2 linked regions of the Oreochromis niloticus genome follow. The protein of the gene in region 1 binds, or shares a complex with, the protein of each later gene. Links are inferred from orthologs where the notes say so. Each region holds a gene or a part of one and is shown on either strand. Other genes may lie near its edges. The genes, in order: ngfrb and tradd.

Region 1 (9,898 bases):
CTTTTTATGAGTGTTAAACTGTACTGGATGGCTGTTCATAAGCATTTAAATCTTAGCAGTTGAAATTTGAATCTACCAATAATGTTAGTCGCAACAAGAAACCTGAAAACCTCTTGAAGTGGGAACACTCTCACAAAGCAACATTCATACAGTCAGAGAGCTCAGAGAGCTCTTGCTTGCTGATTTTAGTCTTTGCTTTACAAGCTCACAGACGAGTTCAGGATGGCTTCCCTTAAAAGTTAAAATAAAAAGGCAGTTAGTCTCTAATCTGAACTGAAGGTATGTTATTATAATTTATAGCACGTCTGTTCTTCAATCATGCAGACATACTAACTCTAAACTTTAACTAGCGTTGTTATAATCCAGCCATAATCTGATTTAACCTAAAACCACCTCTATTTTTGGTGTTTGCCATCTGTGTGACGAGCCAGATAAGGAGGAACAGCCGACATACGGAGCTGTGAATAGTGTGAGGTCTGGTACGGGAATGCAGAACATGCATGTGGTTGCAGAACCCTTTACCAGCTGCATAAAAAGGCTGTTTTTATGTTTCAGGTTAAATTCAAGTCGTACTTGTGCTGTTGCATCACTTTTAGGAATAGTGTGACACTGTAACTGCCCCTGTTGTCTAATACCTTTGCTTATAGTATGTACAGCAGCTCAAGACTTACTCTTACAGATTGCTTTTAACCAGTAGATATTACTATGTTTTAATTTTATGTTTATTACTTGTGACTGTTGTTGTGAAATATTTTGTGATCCTTATCCAAAAAGGCTCTGAAAGCGTTTTGTTTTGTTTTTTTTTAAAAACTTTGATGTCTGTAGAGAGCAGGTTTACTTTTGCATCTATGAGCACATCATTCAGTTCATATCTGAATGCATAATGGACTGCACTGACAGTCATCAGCCCGAGGCTCAGCTCTGTGCAAACCCGATCAATACAAAGGCCAATTCAACCCCCCAAAAGTCCCCACATCGCCTGCTCTCTTCAGTGCATCAGCAGGGAAGCGAATAATGCTCTTATTAATGGGGATGAGCAAACACGTTTTACACAAATGTAAATGCACAGACATTGTGCCAGACTGAACTGTGGCCATCAGAGCACATGCATGGACAAAATTTTGACATAGAGGTATGTATACCTTTAATGTGTCACTGACAAGGTGGAATTCCTGCTTGCCTACTTGTTTTGGTGCAAAAATTGACAATGAATGAACTTCATTCACTGTGGATGTTGTAGCAATGTGGGTAAACCTCGTGATAAGACATATTTAGTCATAATAGTTTTCAGATGAATGTCTAATGAAGGAAGTAAGCAGGCTGAAAATGTTAAAAAGGAAAAAAAAAAATCATGTATATTTTGGTTATTTCTTTTACACCAGGAGTGTGGTGTGGAGATGTTTATTGACTTTTTTTCTATGAGATGTGGCAGCTAGTGAACAGAGGCTTGACAGGGTGTACAATCAAGAGAGAGAAGAGTACCCAGATCAGATCAATACTGTGCAGATGAGGGAGTCTCGTGGGAACAAGCTGGGTTTGTTGCCATCTGGGTGCTCTAAAAAGATCCACTTTAACACAAGTTTAATCATTTGATCCCCACAGAAGGCACACAATGAAATTAAGAGTATCTGCACAAGCTCAACTCTTGCTTCACATGATGATGGTGTTTTGTTGATTTAGAGAGAAAGGCATGATGTAACAGGGAAGTACTGCGGTGCTATGAATGTCTCCTCACAAAAGACAACTTGATATCACTCCCATATTGGTGTGAGTGCTCTCAGAGTAATTCGAGGGCTTGCTTGGCTCGTTATATGATGCCTCTCCAGCTATTACAGTACATTAGAAGGAAAGCTCGCAACCAGACTGTGGAGCTCATCTCCAGCCTGTTTGTACTTCGGTGCTGCTGCTAATGTAGGAATGACAGGTGCTGTACTCTTCTCAGGTGGTGCTGGTGGAGAAAAACAGTGACTGTGCAGTGAGTTAGTATGTGTTTGGGAGCTGGAGGAGAACACACGGGTGTCCTGGACGGGTGGTCCAGGAGACATTTGCTGTCCCTTCTCAGGTTCCAAAAAAAGCATTCTGTTCCCGGCCCTGCAGAAAAACTTTGCATCGTTGTGTATCTGAATCTAGATCTTTGTCTCTGTCCATGTGACAAACTGAAGGCATTTTCTTTTCTTTTTCTTTTTCTTATTTTCACACAAGCACATTTCATAAACCTCTATTTTTTACACTTCTGGCGAACTTGACCTGAAAATGCTCCAAAAATAACACAGACAGTAGCGGTTTTTGATACGGGCGACACGGGCGGTTGCCCGGGGCGGCATCGTGGTGGGGGCGGCATCACGGGCATCGGCAAAAAAACTAAATAAAAATTGCTCGTACTCATGCTGCCCCGACATCAGCCAGCACATATTGGGAATGGCATAGGCACCGATCGGTTTTCTGCCGCCCATTTGCTGGGAGTAAGGGCGCCCTCCGTTTGCGAGGTGTGCCTGCTGCCTGCGGCAGATTCTCTGGCTGGATGGAGCAGCATTTAATAACCAACCCGCAAAATAAAACAAAATAAAAACAAACCAACAAACACGAAAACACCAGACATTATGATACAGACTTATAATTTGCACCGATGTTTTTTCGAAATTCTATGTGCGAAAAGTGAGCGTGAGAGCCCTCGGTGCGCCTGCTTGCTGCTGAAGTCAAAGTAAACTTTATTGTCATCTCTGCTACCAGACAGCTACAGGCCGGAGGGAGTGTTCGCCCAGGGCGGCAAACAGGCTAGGACCGCCACTGAACACAGACATGCAAATTTTAACTTGACTGGTTGCAGTTCCCTCCAACTCATTATGATGTACATTTCCGCAAAAATGAAAAAGACATGTACTGGGCAAGAAGTATTAAAAAAACATGGATGATTACTCGTTGGATGCAAAACGAGGCCCAAATGTACAAGAACTGGCAGCTGGTGGTCCAAAACCAGAAAAAGAACCAGAACACCCAAAAAATGAGATGAAAAAATTAAAGAAACTAACGTAAAGAAAAGAGGAAGTACGGAGGGAGAGCTGACAAAATGATAAGAGACAGGCTGGACCATAAATACACTGTGAACTAACCGAACACATGCGAAACTAAGCTGAGAACTAAAGAAATCAATGAAAGACTGCAAATAAAACAAACACGGACCCACGATGCAAGTGAACCTTTCAGAACAAAACAGGCGACATAAAGAATAACTAAAAATTTAACAGCGACACATTTAAAATGATCATAAATGAACTCAGCACAGCTTCTATTTTTTTTCTATCTTTTTGCCACGTTGACTATGTCCTTGAAATCATCGAGCATTTTACAACAGCTTTTATAAAATGTCTTTCAATATTTTTGTTCATTTTCTGTTTAATAATTTATGTCAGTCTTAAGTACTCATAAATCCCCTTATTAAATGTGTTACCAATGAGTTAAGCCCCCTTTAAATAGCCAGCAGAAGGATTTAATCTCCTATTAAAGTGGCTGTTTGAGGCATTCTTCATCTGAGTGCTGCTGATATAAGTGGTCTTCATGTTAGCACAAAGAAACCATTTCTGTGTTTGATTTTTTTGGTGGAACAAGTTCTGATTGTCTTCATAAACTACAGAGAGCATGCTGTAAATTTGATCTAGATACTTTGGCCTTCATCATAGATTTTCTTTCTTTCTCTTTGTGTGTTTCACTGTTTCTCTCTCCCCCTCTTCTCCCTCTCTTTGCATTCATGCATTATTTATCTCTCAGAGCAAACCAGCTTCCTCTCTCTCTCCTCACCCCCCCCAAGCCCCTCCTGTCCCCCACTGCCCTCCTGTTCTATATAAATCACAGTCACTTCAAATTGATATGTAAGGTGAAAGCATCACTCCCAATTTTTAAACATATTCAAAAACTAGGAGTTTAAGTTTCTCAGGCATGCTCTCTGGCCACTACATTAGTTATACCTTTCTACTACCGCGTTGGCTTGCCTTTTATGTTTGTCATGGCATAGATTCAACAAGGTGCTGGAAATATTCCTCCGTGATTTTTGTCCATACTAACATGTCAGCATCACACAGTTGCTGCAGATTTGTCAGCTGTGACTCTTATTCCGGTACATCCCAGAGGTGCTCTATTAGAATGAGATCTGGTGACCTGCTGGAAGCAGCCATCAGATGATCCGTACACTGTGGTCATAAAGTGATGGACATGATCAGCAACAATATTTAGGTCGGCTGTGGTGTTCAAACAACGCTCAGCTGTTGCTAAAGTGGTCCAAAGAGTGCCAAGAAAAAATCCCCTGGATATATTTTCTTTTTCAGACCACCCTCTGTAAACCTTAGAGATCGTTTTGTGGGAAAATCCCAGTAAATCAACAGTTTGTGAAATATTCAGACCAGTCTGATTGGCACCAACAACCAAAGTCAGTTAAATCACCTTACTTCCTCATTCTGGTGCTCAGCTTTAACTTCAGCAGGTCGTGTCTGACCATGTCTTTTTGCTTAGATGCTTTGGGCTGCTGCCATGTAATTTTTCTGATTAGACGTTTATATTTTCATAACAACTTTTAACATGGATATTAAAGTCAGTACAAGAACAGATCTGCATGCATTCCATCATCATTACATAATAATTTCCAACTGTGAAGTCAAAGAGTTCAAGTACAATATTGATGAATATGACCTTTACCGTGATCAATACCTACACTGGGAGATGAGTGAGACCGGTATTGCAATTTTTATTATTTATTAATGAGCTGTTTCACATCACAAATTTTAAAAGAAAGAGTTTAAAGAGTTAAATGAATAATCTCAATTATGCTCCCTAATGAGCTTTATTACAATTCTGGGAACCATACTGGATGAGTCACAAGTATAGTTCAATGCCCTTTAACTTGTCAAGTGTTGAGTCAAGTGAACCCAATTAAAAAAGAGAGTTACAATATAATTTATTTTGCTTCGGGGATTTGAAGTAAGTGAGGATATTGCACAAACATCTACTTACAGAACTTATAAACATCTCTGCCATTACTGAAGCCTGTTCTGCTGCTACGGCGCTTTAAACATGTATTGTCACGATTTGAATCCATCTTTTTTTTTTTTTTGCCTCAGGAGTCTCCAACAGTACATCACCTCTTCTTATGCATAAAGGCAGCAGTGTTTCTCAGAAGAGCAATCCTCTCATTCCACTTCTCTCCAGATGATAAATAATTTAACATGAGTTTTAAATAAGTCACATAAAAAAAAGAAGTGATTTTCATGTGATGTGATAGAGTCAGACTCACTGTGCATCATGGGCTGCATTCAGCCCACTTTGATCTGGGCTGGACCAGTAATGTGCCATTGTGACTCTTTTGGCATAAATTGTAAGAAATCAATCGTTACATTGCAGAAAAGGTTCTGGTAGCTTATTGCCCAGACTGTCCTGTAATTAGAAAACAAAAAGTTCTTGTTAGTTTACAGACAATGCCTCATTTTAAAAAAAATACACCGTGCACTGACGGTAAACAAAAAACAAAAAAAACCCAGAAATTTCTACAGTAGCGAAAAAACAGGAAAGTTTCTGTTTTTTAATTGTTAATCTATCTACTCTGTTGTAATATGAATGAATGCCCAGGTCGTTATCAGCAGCTGTAGAAAATGGAAAATAGAGTTAAAAAGTCCAAAAACTTATGCCCTCCTCTTGATCCAAGGCTGTGCATTGGGCCGGATTGGAGTTTTTGCTGGGCTGATTTTGGCCCCCCAGCTTTATATTTGACACCTCTGGGACAGACGACTCTCATTAAAGTTAACTTTTTATTTGTTTGTTTGTTGGTTGGTTGTTTGGGTTGTGCATCATTAGCGTGGATGTTGCTGCAGACATCAGAGGGTGTACATCCGTGTGACTGAGAGGACTTCTGTTTTCAGTCTGATGGATGTCTTCCTTTCAGAAGTTTTTCAAAGGAGACTCATTTAGACGGGAGGCAGTCTGGTTTTTAAACACTTGGTTGGTTCGACTCAACAGCAACTACCACGTAATTTAACCATTTAAAAAAGAGAAGGAGAGCGCTAGTTCGTGTGTGTATGTGTGTGTGCGCACATTGTGGGCGTGGAGAGGGAGACGGGCCCTTCCCTGAAGCCGCTGAGCGCTTCTGCCAGATGAAACGCTGTAGGAGGAAAGAAGCGCACGCAGGCGTGAATCCGATGGGTCAGTCTCAGCGAGTGGATCGCATCTGCAGCTAGGGCTCACGGACTTAGTGAGTTCCCGCTGCGGGTTTCACACCTGACACAGCTCACTTACTCGGACATTTTCTTATTTATATTCCTCCTACTCTAACAGCAGAATCCAAAAGATTTGCAAAGACACAATAATGACAACCGAGTTCACTGCAGACTAAAGACTGCATCACTCTGCCCTGCATCCGACGGCTGACCTTCCTCGAAAGATGCAAACAAGACACAGAATGTATTGCGTGTTCGTAGCAGTGTTGCTTGGAGCGGTGAGTACTCTCTGACATAATCATCGTGGGTGTTAAATGTTTGCCGTCAACTTCACCTGGTTACATTTTTCCCTGTCACATCGTGCGCAAAAAGCATGCCCAGTTGCGCATCAACATAGTCCCATTAGAAGGTGGTTAAAAGCTGGTGCGAGTGTGTGGGGGAGGTTTTCTTTCTTTCACGTGTTTTCTTTTCTTTTTATTAATATTTTTGCTTCCCATCCAGCCTGTCACGCCCTTCACTTTTTGAGAGAAAACTTTTCGGAAAATCTTTACTTTTCTCTCTGGGATTTAAAGTCCCGGTCATGTTAGATGATACTGGTATTTGTGGTGCTTAAAACAGCACACGTTCGTGTCTCTGCACCTGTCCCACCCGCAGCCCTGGCTTGACATTGTGAAGCAAGAATGGATGTATGCAGGAGCCATTCAGGTTGATACTCTATAGCCTCAGTTGTGGATCTGTAGTTCCACCCTTCTCAGTTACATGTGGCTCCACAGACAGCAGGACAATAACAATGTCACAGTGGGCTCTGTGGAGGAGATCACCAGTAAAGCCCGGGTTTGGTTTAACTTTGGTGAATTCCTTGATTTACTGAGTTTGTGAGGCAAACTTGTGATAATGGGCATACAGGAAGTTAAACATTAAGCATGATCTTTAGGGCGATTACTGGGCGATGCACAGATTCTCACCACTGCGAAGGCCTGGAAGATGAAGCTACACAGAGGCAAAAGCAAACAGATGCAGGAGATGGAAGTAAACATAGAGGGAGGGAGACGGGGAAAACACGAATATGTGGGAGAGGGACAGAAAATCCACCACCTTATGAGGATTCATGAAAACTATGCAAAAGTGTACTTTACATGGACACGGTCAGCCTGTGCCGTGAGCTTGTCCAGGTCTTGGTTTTTGGAGCCGGCTGCATCACTGATACGTGACAGCTGCTCCTACTGATGGGTATATATCCTCTGCTGGCTCAGCACATGTAATATTGATAGAGTCTGAACCACCCTCCTACCCACTCCCAGCCCCCTCACTTTTCCTCTCCTCCTTTCCCCCTTACACACTCACTTGGCTCGCCTCTTGTCTGTTTCTCTCCCTTTGCCTCTCGCTCCATGAAGTGATGATTCAGCTTTGTTTGCGAACGCATGGGGTTGTGGTGTCACCGGCACCCAGTGGGCCAACAGCAGTTTAGGGTCCACGTCTGGATTAAAATTAGGCCCAGTTTATTGGAAGGCTGGTTTAGTGGAACTCTAATGGCTTAACAAGTGCTGACAGCTGAGGTCTAGAGGTTAAGTGCCTCCAACTGAAAATTGACTGTTGCATTAGTAAGATTGGTTGGAGCATTGAAAGTGGTGTGTCCAGATGCTTCTGTGCATTCATTTGTGTGTGTGCTCGTGTGTGCACGTGCGTGTGTGTTCTTCTTACTTCTTGATTTTGCTTCAGGGAAATTGGCTGACAAAAGTTGAAGAGTGCAGCCCACAAATTTCCATCCAAAAAGCAGGAAACGTGCAAGTCGAGCTGCAACTTGCTCAGTGCCCTGCATCCTTTTCCTTTTTTCTATTGCTCAAGCCGTATGCTGAAAATTGCGTTGCCCTGTAATTCTTCTGTTTGCACAGCCCAGCAGACATTACTGATGCACTTTAATCTCGGTTATTTGTCTTTGAGACATCTTGGTGCCGCACACCCTCACCTGGAGCTAGGGTAAAAAAACCCAACAACAACAAAAAAAGACGCAGTTGTCAAAATGCTGGAACTTGGAGTCATTTCAAAGGTGTCAGTTTGACTTTTGGAACAGGTTTGTTCACATGTAAGGTTTGTTAATGTGTTTGCACGAATGTGAATGTTTGGTCGGGAGTGTGTGGAGCGCAGCTCAGGGGAAGTAGCTACTGTAGAGTGATGAACGCGTGCAGATGGGAAAGGTGAGCGTGAGGTAGAGCGTGAGCTGCGAGCTGTGAGGAAAAGAGAGCGAGGGCTTTGAAGTTGTGAGGAAGCTACAAAGTAAAACATTTTGGAGGCTTAAACTCATCGCATGGAGAAAGTGTTGCAGGTCACGCAGAGAAAACTTGGTGCTACAACAGTCACGGGAGAATTAGGAGCTTCACTCGATGAACATAAACTGTCTTTGTTTCCCAGAGTTTGTGCACTTTCATGAAAATAATAGAGGAATCAAACTAACCAGGCATTTTTTTAATGGAACATTTCAAATAAAAAGTTCCTGCACGAGGCTGAAAACATTCTTGAAGATTTAGAGGATGTAAAATTAAATACCAAAGACTTGAAGGTCAATGAACCATGACACCGTTGAGAGCAACAGAGAGTGTGTGTTTGTGTAGGTCCAAAGGAAAGCGTACATGCTCACACCCATCCACACACTCATGGACATTATCTGCCAGCTGACTCAGTGGAGGTGCTCGAGGGGACATTTGATGTTTCGTGGAGCTCCTTTCTCTCGTCAGTAACATTCCACACACACCTGAACCCTGACGCCTGTCAGGCGATTGTACCTCCTTCGCAAAAATACCTCCGTCAACATACTCACATCCATCCTCTCTAAGTATATTTGCTGTATCTGACTTACATTTAGTAGTAAAAACAAAAAAACTCCTTAAAAATTGTTTTAATGTGGTCTAACAAGGCTGAGACACAATTTTCTTTACACCCTTCATCTATGACTAATGGGATAACTCATAAGCAATACACTGGCTTACAGCAGACAGTCCTGATTTCATACATATCAGCTTAAAAATCATCATGTATATGGGGAGAAGAAAAACATAAAGCTTTGTTATTATGTAACTCTGTCATGTTTGCTTTAGAGATTAAGGTGAGCAGAAGAAAGCAAAGATTTAGCTATTAGATATAATGTCAAAGGCCATGCACACTCATAGGTCTTAAGAGTTGTAGTAAGATGTAGAGACACGTCCTGGCTCAAGCCTGAGTGTCATGCATTTATTTATGCCCGAGCAGAGGCACACACAGATGTCTTTACCTGTCAGCAGCTTTGATAACGCACTCAACAGGTTGTTATTTGAAGAATGTAGAAAGGACCAGCTTTATCTTTGTGAGGATGTGTTATTTTGTGTACTGGCACTTTATAAATGCCTTCGCATCTTAAACTTGCATGTGACCGTTTTAAAAAAACAAAGCAGGACCTCTTTGTGACCTCGAGTTACAGATCCCGTGTGTCAAAAAATGTAAGCAGTTTAACCAGAGAATTATTTGTTTCTACAATTTATTTTTATTTGAAGCCAGACAAGGAAAAGAAAACGTAGTATTGCACGAAAGCAGAGAAAACAGAAAAAGGGACTGTGGAAAGTGGACCGTTTTGTGAGGCTTTGCCATTAATCATCTCACAACTGTTCTGATTTTTCTTCCCGCTTTCCTTCGGGGTCCTCATTGGCCCCATGACCAAACTAGTTTTAGCC
Region 2 (9,839 bases), on another chromosome or scaffold:
CCACGTTCAAAGTTACTTGAATCACCAATTTTCGACCATTCGGATGCTTAGTTTGAAATTTAGTAGGTTGTCTTTGCCATGTTCACATGCCTCCATTGACTTGCTGGTGTTGTAGTATTGTAGTGTTATGAGAGCTCTGTATGCAAATCTAGCTATACCCAGGCTCCAGCGTGAGCTTTTTTTAATCAGTTGTGAGCATCAGTTGATTTCTCATCTGTTTGCTGTTTGTGTTTGTGGCAGGAAACGGTGCTGCTGGAGTGGATCAATCCCATCTATTTGGACATTTCTTATCAAGAGCAGATTCAGGAGGAGTTTGAAGACAGCTCTGAAATTCAGCTCAAAGGATTTCTCAAGGTAACTTATAAAAACTCTTTTCCACCGACGCAGCGCTGCAGCTTTTTTTCAGAACGGTTTCCGGACATTGCACCATAGAAATGTAGTTCCCAAAGCTGGAAATGCTTACTCACAGATGATTTGCAGATGAAGCACGCATGATTTTTTTTTCCACACTGAAAGTACCTCGGCTTTAGCTGCACAACACTGAGTAATGAGACAATTTCCAAGTATCCATTGTGCTCTGCTTTTCAAAAAGGCATCAGAGCAGAGCTGGCACTGGTGTCGTGTCTTTCCTGTGTTCATTTGTTTCCGCTGAGTGATTATGCGTTTGTCTTCAGGAGGAGAAGTTCAAAGAGGTGAGTGAAGCACTTCGGCTCTCTCAGATTGAGTGGAAGAAGAGAGGTCCACCCAATAAGAGGTGAGTATGTTTGACTCTTTAAAGTAGCACTCTGTATTTAATTTTTTTTTGTATTTGTTAATAACCTGTGTGCTTTCAGGTGCTATGAAGCAGCTGCTCTGGACTCGCTGCCTCAGTGTGTGAGTGCATGCTGGGAGCTGCTTCATTCAGAAGCATTCTTCCTGCTCCTCTCCAACTTCACTGGCCTTCGATTGCACTATCTCTGCCCGGCTGACGACGAAGAGGATGACGATGAAGAGAAGGTTAAAAAGCAGCAAGATGATGGAGAAGCCACGGGGTCGTCAAATGAACCGTCCTCAGCAGATGCGAGCAGAGAGAAAGGTGTGCGTCGCTGTGAGTGCTTTCATTCAGCCGCAGCCGCTGCCGCTGCCGCTGCTGTTCGTGTGTTTTGACCTCTGTGTATTTTCAGAGCCGAGCACCCCTTTGTGCTGTGGGGAAGTACGCCGATGGTCTCGCGGTGGCTACACCCTGTTGCACGATGGAGAGGCCGCGCGGGCAGAATACGCGCTGGACCTCGTTTTGCCTTTCGGCTGCACAGGTGAGTTCACACCCAGCGGAAGAACGAACTGTCGGACACCAGTGTGACTGTACTGAACTTTTAATTCTCTCTCGTAGGCTGGCAGTCAGAGTTTGGCGGCTTCACGTGTTATGTGGCTAATGAAGAGGATGAGGAGGTGAGTGCTGATTAATTTGACGTGTAATCGCACATGTGCGGATGTTGCTTCAACAGTCATCATCACTGCTTTCTTCACAGCTTCTGACCGTCTACCCGGAGGACAATTCACTCGCACTCGTCTACAGAGACAAAGAGACCCTCAAGTTCGTCAAACACGTCAACCACAAAAGCACCTCCGAGCCTGATGGCAGCTCCACCTGCAGAGAGTTTTATGACTTTTCTTTTGTCTACTATGAATAAATATGTATATAATTACTTAAGTGTGTGCGTGTGGGGGGGTGCATTTACACTGGGAGATGAACTCCACTCACTCCACTCATTATTGCAATAGGACAGTGGGGAGAAGACAGAAAAGCTGGGAAAAAGACACGCACAAAACAACCTTGGTGTAGATTTTAACGCAGGCCTCTGTAATAGTCTTATGGTATAGGGGCCACCTTAAAAAGTTGCCTATATTATTCGCTAAAGTTGCAGAAATCTGGAAAAAAAAATGAAAATGGCTCTCCTTGCTATATTCAAAACCACTCACCAGCATAGCGTGTGCACCTGCGCTGCATTCAGGCCTAACAAAACTTGACAAAATCTTTTTTTTTTTTTTTAACAGAAAAGCCATATTTATGATGGCGCTACTGTGTCTGAAAAGTAATCCCAACTTCTGTCTTAAACCTGCATTCTTTCTAATGGTCAGCAGGGGGCGACTCCTCTGCTTCCAAGAAGACTTCAGGTTGTATTCACTTTTATGAGAAAAAGGCCCTCGGCCCCCCCTCACTCTGTGACCTCAGTAAACACTTTTATGGGTTCAGTTGCTATTTTCAGGTCATACAGTATGAAACATGAAGTTCATCTTGTGAATGGTCATTATTATAGTTATAAAGGAGCATAATCCAGGGTATGCTTGCCAGCTAGCAACCTGCTTAATCACAAGTTGTTTGTGATTGTGCAGTAACCCTCATTTTGACAGTTAATTCCACCATGTGCTCGTTTCAAAAATGGTTCAAAAATAGCAAGACGGCGACTGCGAAAATGCTCATCTTGAGGCTTCAGGGCAGGAATTCACAAAACCAACAGATGGCATCAGAGTGCCTTTATCAATCTTTTATACTGTTTATGTATCCATGCTGTTATATCTGTCAAGCACGCGGGAGCTGATTCATCTTATCCTTCCTTTTAAGCAGTGGACATCCAACATTTAGGCGTGTTACCTTCACCTTTACTGGCTAGAGTAAATGTACAAGAATCCAAATTGTAAATTTCCTGACAGAGAATCTGTGGGGGCTGTTCACTTTTGTGTGTTACCTTTTTAATATGGTAGGGTTTAAATAGATTTCTGACACATGCAAAAAAAATGCGATAAAACATTTATGAAAGCTCGTTGCCCAGCGTTGTACATTGCTTGGGTAAAACATTTTAAAACATTACAAAAAATAAACTTTTCACAATGTTTCTAGATTAACTGTGTTGATTATCTGGTCTTATCTGATCTTATTATCTGTGGTCTGCCTGTGCCTGGAAGAGGAGTACCACTCTGGTTCCTTAGAACTTGCTAAAAGAGTTATTTTAGATTTATTTTATTTTTTACTCTAATGATGCCAAACAGAAGAACAAGTTGCAGTTCTGTGTAAAAGCCACCATTTATTTACAACACAGGAAATCATTCCTGTACAACTCCTCCATTTAATACACAGTACACACTGCAATAGTTACACCCTTTTGCACATTCTCTACAGTAAAATAACAAATGACAAAGTTTCACAGGTTAGAGTTAAATGTCAATCATATATATATTTCACCTCTGTAATATTCTTGATATTTATAATTGAGTGATTTGTATATATTCGTGCTATTTCTTAAATTTGTAAACTTTGTAATATATTGTATTATTTAATTAGTTTAGTCTGTTACTGTTATTGTCTTGGAGCAACTGTAACCCGCATCATTTCCTTAGGGTTTAATAAAGTATTCTGATTCTGATGATCATTTCTTTAACTAGCCTTCAGGAATAGTTCTCCAGGATTCTTGGAGGACTTTCAAAGCCATTTTGTTTGATTCTCTGTCAACATGATCCCACACTGCTTCAATAAGATTGAGGTCTGGGCTCTGGGAAAGCCAGTCCATTGCTGATAATGCTTTTTATCTAAGTATGCTCTTATTGCATCAGCAGTATGTTTGGGATCATTGTCAAGATGCTGCCAATCAGATGCTTTCGAGATGATTTTGCATGGTGGATCAAAATGTGCTGGAACTTTTCTGCATTCATATTTCCACCAATTTTAACAAGATCTCCTGCACCACTGGCTAAAATACAGTCCCAACCACGACAGAGCCTCTGCCAACCATTGTTCTAACTCATTTCTGATCTTCTCCATACATATTGACGACCATTTGAATAAAAACAATTGAAATTTGGATTGATCTCCTCAAGACCTGTTGTTGCTGATTTTAAGTATTTATCCTCCACTTGCTCAGTTTCCCCAGATTTTATTTTAAGCTCAGTGTTAAGTGTCGTAACAAAACAAAAAACAGACAAAAAAGACCTTCAAAAAGCCCAGAGAACTGTTCCTCAAGACCACTAAAAAATACAAGAAAGTATGACTCCTTGAGGTCTTGAAGGCCTTCTACCCCTTTGCTTGCCACAATGTTTGCTGCAAGGCTCAGTTTGGGGGCCTTGATTGTTTTTGTTATACCTGCTCTCTCTTCAGCACATTTTGAATGCTTTTAAGGACATTCCTTATCACTGTTATGCAGATGACATTCTGTTATATACCTCTTAAGCCCCAATGTGTTTCTAAGTTACAGAGATTGCATAGGTGCGTAGACTCTTTCAGAATTTTGATGACTGACAAGTTTCTCCAACTTATTGAAGAAAAACATAAATCCTTGTTTGTGCCCCTGGCAGATTTGTGTCTAAGATATTGGAAACTATGCCACATTTATTAAATCTTTTATTAGGAACCGTGGGGTAACTTTTGATGCAGCTTTCACTTTAGATGTCCACATTAAATCTCTGGTTCGCTCTTCAATAGTGTCATGCTCTAAGTTGGAAATTAATATTCATGCATTTATATCATTGCATCTGAATGATAGGAATTCCTTGTTCTGTTGGCTTAACAAAGCTTCTGTGTTCGCCACTGCAAAAGTGTTTTAAGTACCGACACGTCACACTGTTACTAATTTAGTTACATGTTGAGTGTTTCATGGACAAACATTAGTGTAGATCAGTAAACTTTTACATCCATACATCTTCAGCAGGTTCTAGACATCATGTGATCAGGGTGAGGACTAAAGGAGACAGAGTTTTTGCCACAGTGGTGCTCTGAGATCCTCCAGACTCTGTGGTTTTCATTAAAAAGTAGTTTAAAAACTCACTTTTTTAGACTTGCTGTAACTTGGTAACCTTTATTTTTGGTTGTCTTTATGTTTTGATCGTTTTGTTGTTATATTTATCTTAAAACAACATTTTTCTTACTATACAAAATATAATGAGCTGTTGGCTCAAGACTTTTGCACAGGACTATATACATTCAGATTTAGTTGTGTTAGGCTAAAAGTCCCCCCAAAACAAATATATTTAAACCAAATAAAACTTAAAAGCTGAAGCCAGCAGATATATTTGTTCATAAATGACATAAAAGTTACATTTGATTAATGTTTTTGATTAGATTTCTTAGATCAGTTTCACCTGTGTCTAAATTTCCGGGAAACCTTTGCACCCCTGCACCGTTTTTGTCTGTCAGTGGGACTATGCAAATATGCCTAGTGCATTGTTTTGGTTTTCCCCAGCAGCTGTTTAAATCTGTTAACACACAAAAACCCAGCGACCACAGTGAGAAATTAGACTCGTCAAAGAGCCAGTAAAGTGTTTCAGTTCTTTAATGTTTGAGCGTTTTGGTTCAGGTTCAAATTTATGATTAAATGCTAGATACAACTGTTCGTAACGGGATTCGTTGAACTACATGTAAACTGAACGTTTACGTTAAAAAGAAAAAAAACCACACACACACAAAAAAACACTTCCTTCCCGTCACGATTTTCCTCGTTGATTTCCACCAATCAGAACGCAGCTTGGTTGCTGCTCACCCAATGGGAAGCCAGGAAGCTCATACTGTCTGTGTGATTCCACAGAAGGAAGCGTTACCAAACACTTTAACAAAGTTTTAAGGTAAGTTTGAGCCGAGCTTATCAAAGTGTTACTTCACGGTGAATCAAAGGACCTCCTAGGCAGAAACTAGGCGTGCGGGCTTCCCGAGGCTTTGGGCCGCTTCAGCGGCGTGGCTGCTCGCAGCTTTACGGTAGCTCTATCTATTCTGCGTGACATTTCTCACAGTAACCTCCATCCCTTTCAGTATAAGGCACTGACATTTTAAAACGGAATAGCTATCTTTGCGGTGTTCTGACTCAAACCAATGCAGCTGTCAAACTGTTATGAAGGTAATCAGCTAGCTCACCTGTACGTACGGGTCGCATAGCAACCACGTCCCCTAGTTTAAAGTTGGACAACAGTTATAGCTTTGACATTAAAGTTACATAGTCTATAATTTGAGTAAACTCTGGGTGTGTTTTTCTGTTGTTTCTGTAAGGCTTCATTTATGATGAGTTTATAAGCTGTAATCGAAGGTTTTGTTGTTACTTTAAGCTAGGAAACAAATGTCATAAAATATCCTCAGATAGCAACATTTGTTATTGTTTTGCTCATAGTTCAGTGGATCTCTAACTTTTTCTGGCTTGCCTGACTTTAGAAGTTAAAGCTGTAAACGTGATGTACGTATTTATTATACACTTAACGGCGACTTTATTGGATACACTTGTTCTTAACGCAAATATCTAATCAGCCAATCACATGGCCTTGTTGATGATAGAGGCGAATGGGAAGACTGCTTTGAGCTCATAGGAAATTAACAGCAACTGAAATAACCACTAGTTACAACAAAGGTATGCAGGAGAGCATCTATGAAAACATAGCACATCCAACTTGGAAGCAAATAGGCTGCAGCTGCACAAGACCATACCAGCAGCAGAATACCACAGCGAGTGCCACCCTAGCTACGATCAGGAGACCGAGGCTACAGTTCACAGTTCTACTCCAACATTCAGATGGTAGGGGCAGAATTTGACATAAAAGCATGGATCCATGGCTCAGGCTGCTGGTGTAGGAACCATTATTTTAAGTCAGCTTCATTCCGCATGTTTACCCTAGTCATCCATACTCGACCTATAGTGGAAGTGCTAGTCATATTCGATGTACAGGGGGATAAATAGCTTATTCACAATTAGCCTCCAGTTGTTAATGTAAGTTTGAGTTAGTTCAGAGGTGCTAAAGGTCGTTTTCAGAGATGAACCCCTCACACAGCGCGTTGGATGTGTCTCCCTAATCAGAATGTTCTAACTTGAAACACAAGAACCATGCTGAAGAGGGTTTTCTGATACCATGCCAGCATAAAATTGAAAAGGATCTAAGGCTAAATTGAAAAATAAATTCACAACTGTTTTGATGACATTGGAAATAATGTGATCTGATCTTCTAAGTCAAAATAAGATAAAAACAAAATCTGAATAAACTGAAAACATTTTCGTGTCCTTTATGAACAGATAGATAACAAACAGTGAAGGTGGAAAATAACAAATGAACTCTTGAAATTAGTAACTGACACAGCCGCCTTCAGCAGCCGCGCCTTTCGTCAGATGCTTTCTGTAGCAGTTTTTAGAGGCATTCGTGATGAAGAGGAGGAATTTCGGATTGTGTGACCGATTTGGTGTGTTATTAGTCATAGTGTGCTTTTTTTCCATATAATATTTTGCTGGGAATCAATTCAGAAACCTCAGATATTCCAGAGGAGTTAAATGTTTTTTCTTGCCCCTTAATTCATTACTTACAGTTTACAAACTGTTTATAAACGTGCCTGAGCAAAAATAGTCTGCAAACAAAGTTTATGGTTAACTGGAATGCTTTTGGAAGGTCTGCCAAATTAAGGTGATCAAAAACACAAGTCATTTCACTAAAAACGTCACTTCTTACAGGTCTGCATGCAAAACGTGCTCCTCTTATTCATACTGACTGTAAAGAGGCGCCTTCCCAACATGTAAGGCCTCAAGTTTTCCAAACTTCTGCTGAGGAAAATTTGCCCTCTCTAACTAGCAGCTCACCGAAGAAACAAGTCAAACTGAACTTGAAACTAAAAACACTGTAACCTCGGAAAAACCCACTTGATTTAATCACAGAAGGCTGAAGCTTCGGATGATGAATGACCACGAAGGCTCTGATTTTGCCACCCACTTCTCACAAGGTGAAACCTCTGACAGAGTCAGATCATTTTTATATCTCTGGATGGTCAGATCACACTGTTACTGTTAAAACTACTTTAAGGAAAGGATCTTTCGGATATGAGGAATCAGTATTCCTAGCTGTAGCTGTTTTCCATCAATATTCAGTTGTGTAAATAGTACATAGTACATCCTCTGGAAACTGGGCTTTTCTTTTTGACGAGCAAACCTCTGATCTTTGATACAGTGACTACAGATAAAGGTTGCATGCTTCACCACATCATTCATTTGTGTGAAAAAGTAATTACGCCCTCAGCCACAGAAGCTTGTGTTGTCCACCTTAGCAAGAATAATGAATTTTTTCCACTGGTGTTTCACATTGGGATGCGAATTTTTGACCCCTCTTCCTTCATGTCCATCAGTTGAAAGATGTTTGAGTAACAAGTGTTACCTTCACAGGAACGATAACCCTCCCTTTCCTGCCTCTGAGGTCTTCCTTTGTGGATTTGTCGGTGTGCTGAGGATTATTATCATGGGAGGTTGATTTGGGGTTTAATATGTTGTCAAAGAACACCACAGCATGTAGAATGGACATGCCAAGGATTGAACCACTGACCTTCAACTTGGTTGTTGACCACCTGAGTCAAAGATGCTCCCCCCAGGTTGACATAACCATGTAGGGATGGTCTTTTCCTGACAATAAAGACATTTTTCTGGCATGACACATGCAACAGAGTTACCTGCAGACCCTGTGATCACATTTTTCAAGTTTCTTTTAGACCCCCCCACCCCCCCCCCACCCCCCCACACAAAAAAAAAAATGAATTACTGGTCATTTTAAATCTCTTGCCAGACTTGACATCAGATGAATGAATGATATATGGCATGGCGTCACCATGTAGTTGGCATGTTTTGTTTTCCAACAGAGAGCTTTACTAAAAACGCAAGAAGTGTTGCTTAATGCTGTGTCATCATAAGGATATGATCAGTTATAGGGATGATTAAACAAATTATTAGCCCTCAGTTAGTGTCAGTTATTCTTATATTTATGTATGGATTGAAGCGAGTAGATGTTAAAAAGCTACATTTATAATTGAAAATGATCATTTGTAAACTTAGTCGGGGGAGTTACGAAATGTTTTCTGCTTATGCTTTTCAAATGTGAGGACTTTCCATTTTTACCCTTTTATGTCATCTGAATGTATCATTTGTATTTTTTTGGACTGGACAAAATGAGCCATTTTTGAATTCGTTTGATTCATGCTTCTGAATCAAATTTTTTTTGTTACCCAAACACCAAACAAGCTCTCCAGGGAATACTAGAGGTTGGCTTTTGGCAGCAAAGGATGAATTATATATTTTAAGCTCCCGATGATCACTTAATCCTCATCCAGCTGCTAAACTAATCTCACAGTATACTTCCATTGTACCAGTTGATAGGATAGCAAATAATTACATACTGCCTAAGTCGTTTCCTGTACACCTAACCGCCAAGCATACTGTGATTCAGTAAAATGCGAGGACGTGCACCTAATCCAGCTCAGAGGGTCCTCTTTGGCTGCAGAGCGCTCCAAGTCAGGATGCATAGAGACGGCACCAGCAGGTTTCAGCGGTTCATCCAGGGCACAGGAGTCAGGGGCTGGAGTGGGGGAGGGGAGGGATGAGATTAAACATGTTTTTATGTAATGAGGGTTTCAGAAGGAAGCTGGGGTAAAAAAGGTGGAGTGAGGCCAGAAACATGGTGGATGTATTTTGGCTGCCCTGGGTCCAGGCGGTTAAGTCAGCAGAGGTGATACGGTTTATTATCCCATCACTCTGAGTGAACACGATTAGAAACTGAATCTCCTGCTTCAGATAAAATGAGACGTAGAATTAATGACCACTGATCAAAAATTTAGAGCCTGAATTTGAAATGACGTACGTCTCTCACCACGTTTTTATTACCTGCTGACGGTGGAGGAACAGTGATTTACACTGGGTTCAAACCTCCTGCTGTGCTGGGGCCTTTCTGTGGAGTTTCATTTTCCCTACGTCTTCATGGGTTGCCTCTGCATGCTCCGGTTTCACCACACAGTCCAAAGACATGCGTGTTTGAGTAATAGTTGTTTTTACCCCTTAGTCGTAAAAGGCTGATGGGGTATTTTCATTATC

Evidence for each region.
Region 2: the proteins of ngfrb (region 1) and tradd are in contact, whole or in part, in an NMR structure (PDB 7CSQ), measured with the Homo sapiens proteins. The link is inferred for Oreochromis niloticus from reciprocal best matches to the Homo sapiens genes NGFR and TRADD. Residues at the interface, in NP_002498.1 of Homo sapiens: Glu345, Glu346, Glu348, Lys349, Leu350, Asn352, Gly353, Ser354, Ala355, Glu379, Ala380, Cys381, Arg384, Glu420; in NP_001310481.1 of Homo sapiens: Thr201, Phe202, Asn211, Ala275, Glu276, Arg278, Arg279, Thr281, Gln283, Arg284, Glu287.

The regions. Positions count from the first base shown.
Region 1 is NC_031973.2:15,873,274-15,883,171, forward strand, and holds the start of ngfrb (nerve growth factor receptor b), read left to right. Parts: upstream 1-6,063; 5' UTR 6,064-6,421; coding exon 6,422-6,475; intron 6,476-9,898. UniProt on the Homo sapiens protein: Low affinity receptor which can bind to NGF, BDNF, NTF3, and NTF4. Forms a heterodimeric receptor with SORCS2 that binds the precursor forms of NGF, BDNF and NTF3 with high affinity, and has much lower affinity for mature NGF and BDNF.
Region 2 is NC_031965.2:22,598,897-22,608,735, forward strand, and holds the start of tradd (tumor necrosis factor receptor type 1-associated DEATH domain protein), read left to right. Parts: upstream 1-5,461; 5' UTR 5,462-5,589; intron 5,590-5,639; exon of another isoform or gene 5,640-5,719; intron 5,720-9,839. Other genes in the region: prolyl 3-hydroxylase OGFOD1, read left to right, coding at 241-354, 675-754, 834-1,075, 1,164-1,292, 1,370-1,428, 1,509-1,670. UniProt on the Homo sapiens protein: Adapter molecule for TNFRSF1A/TNFR1 that specifically associates with the cytoplasmic domain of activated TNFRSF1A/TNFR1 mediating its interaction with FADD.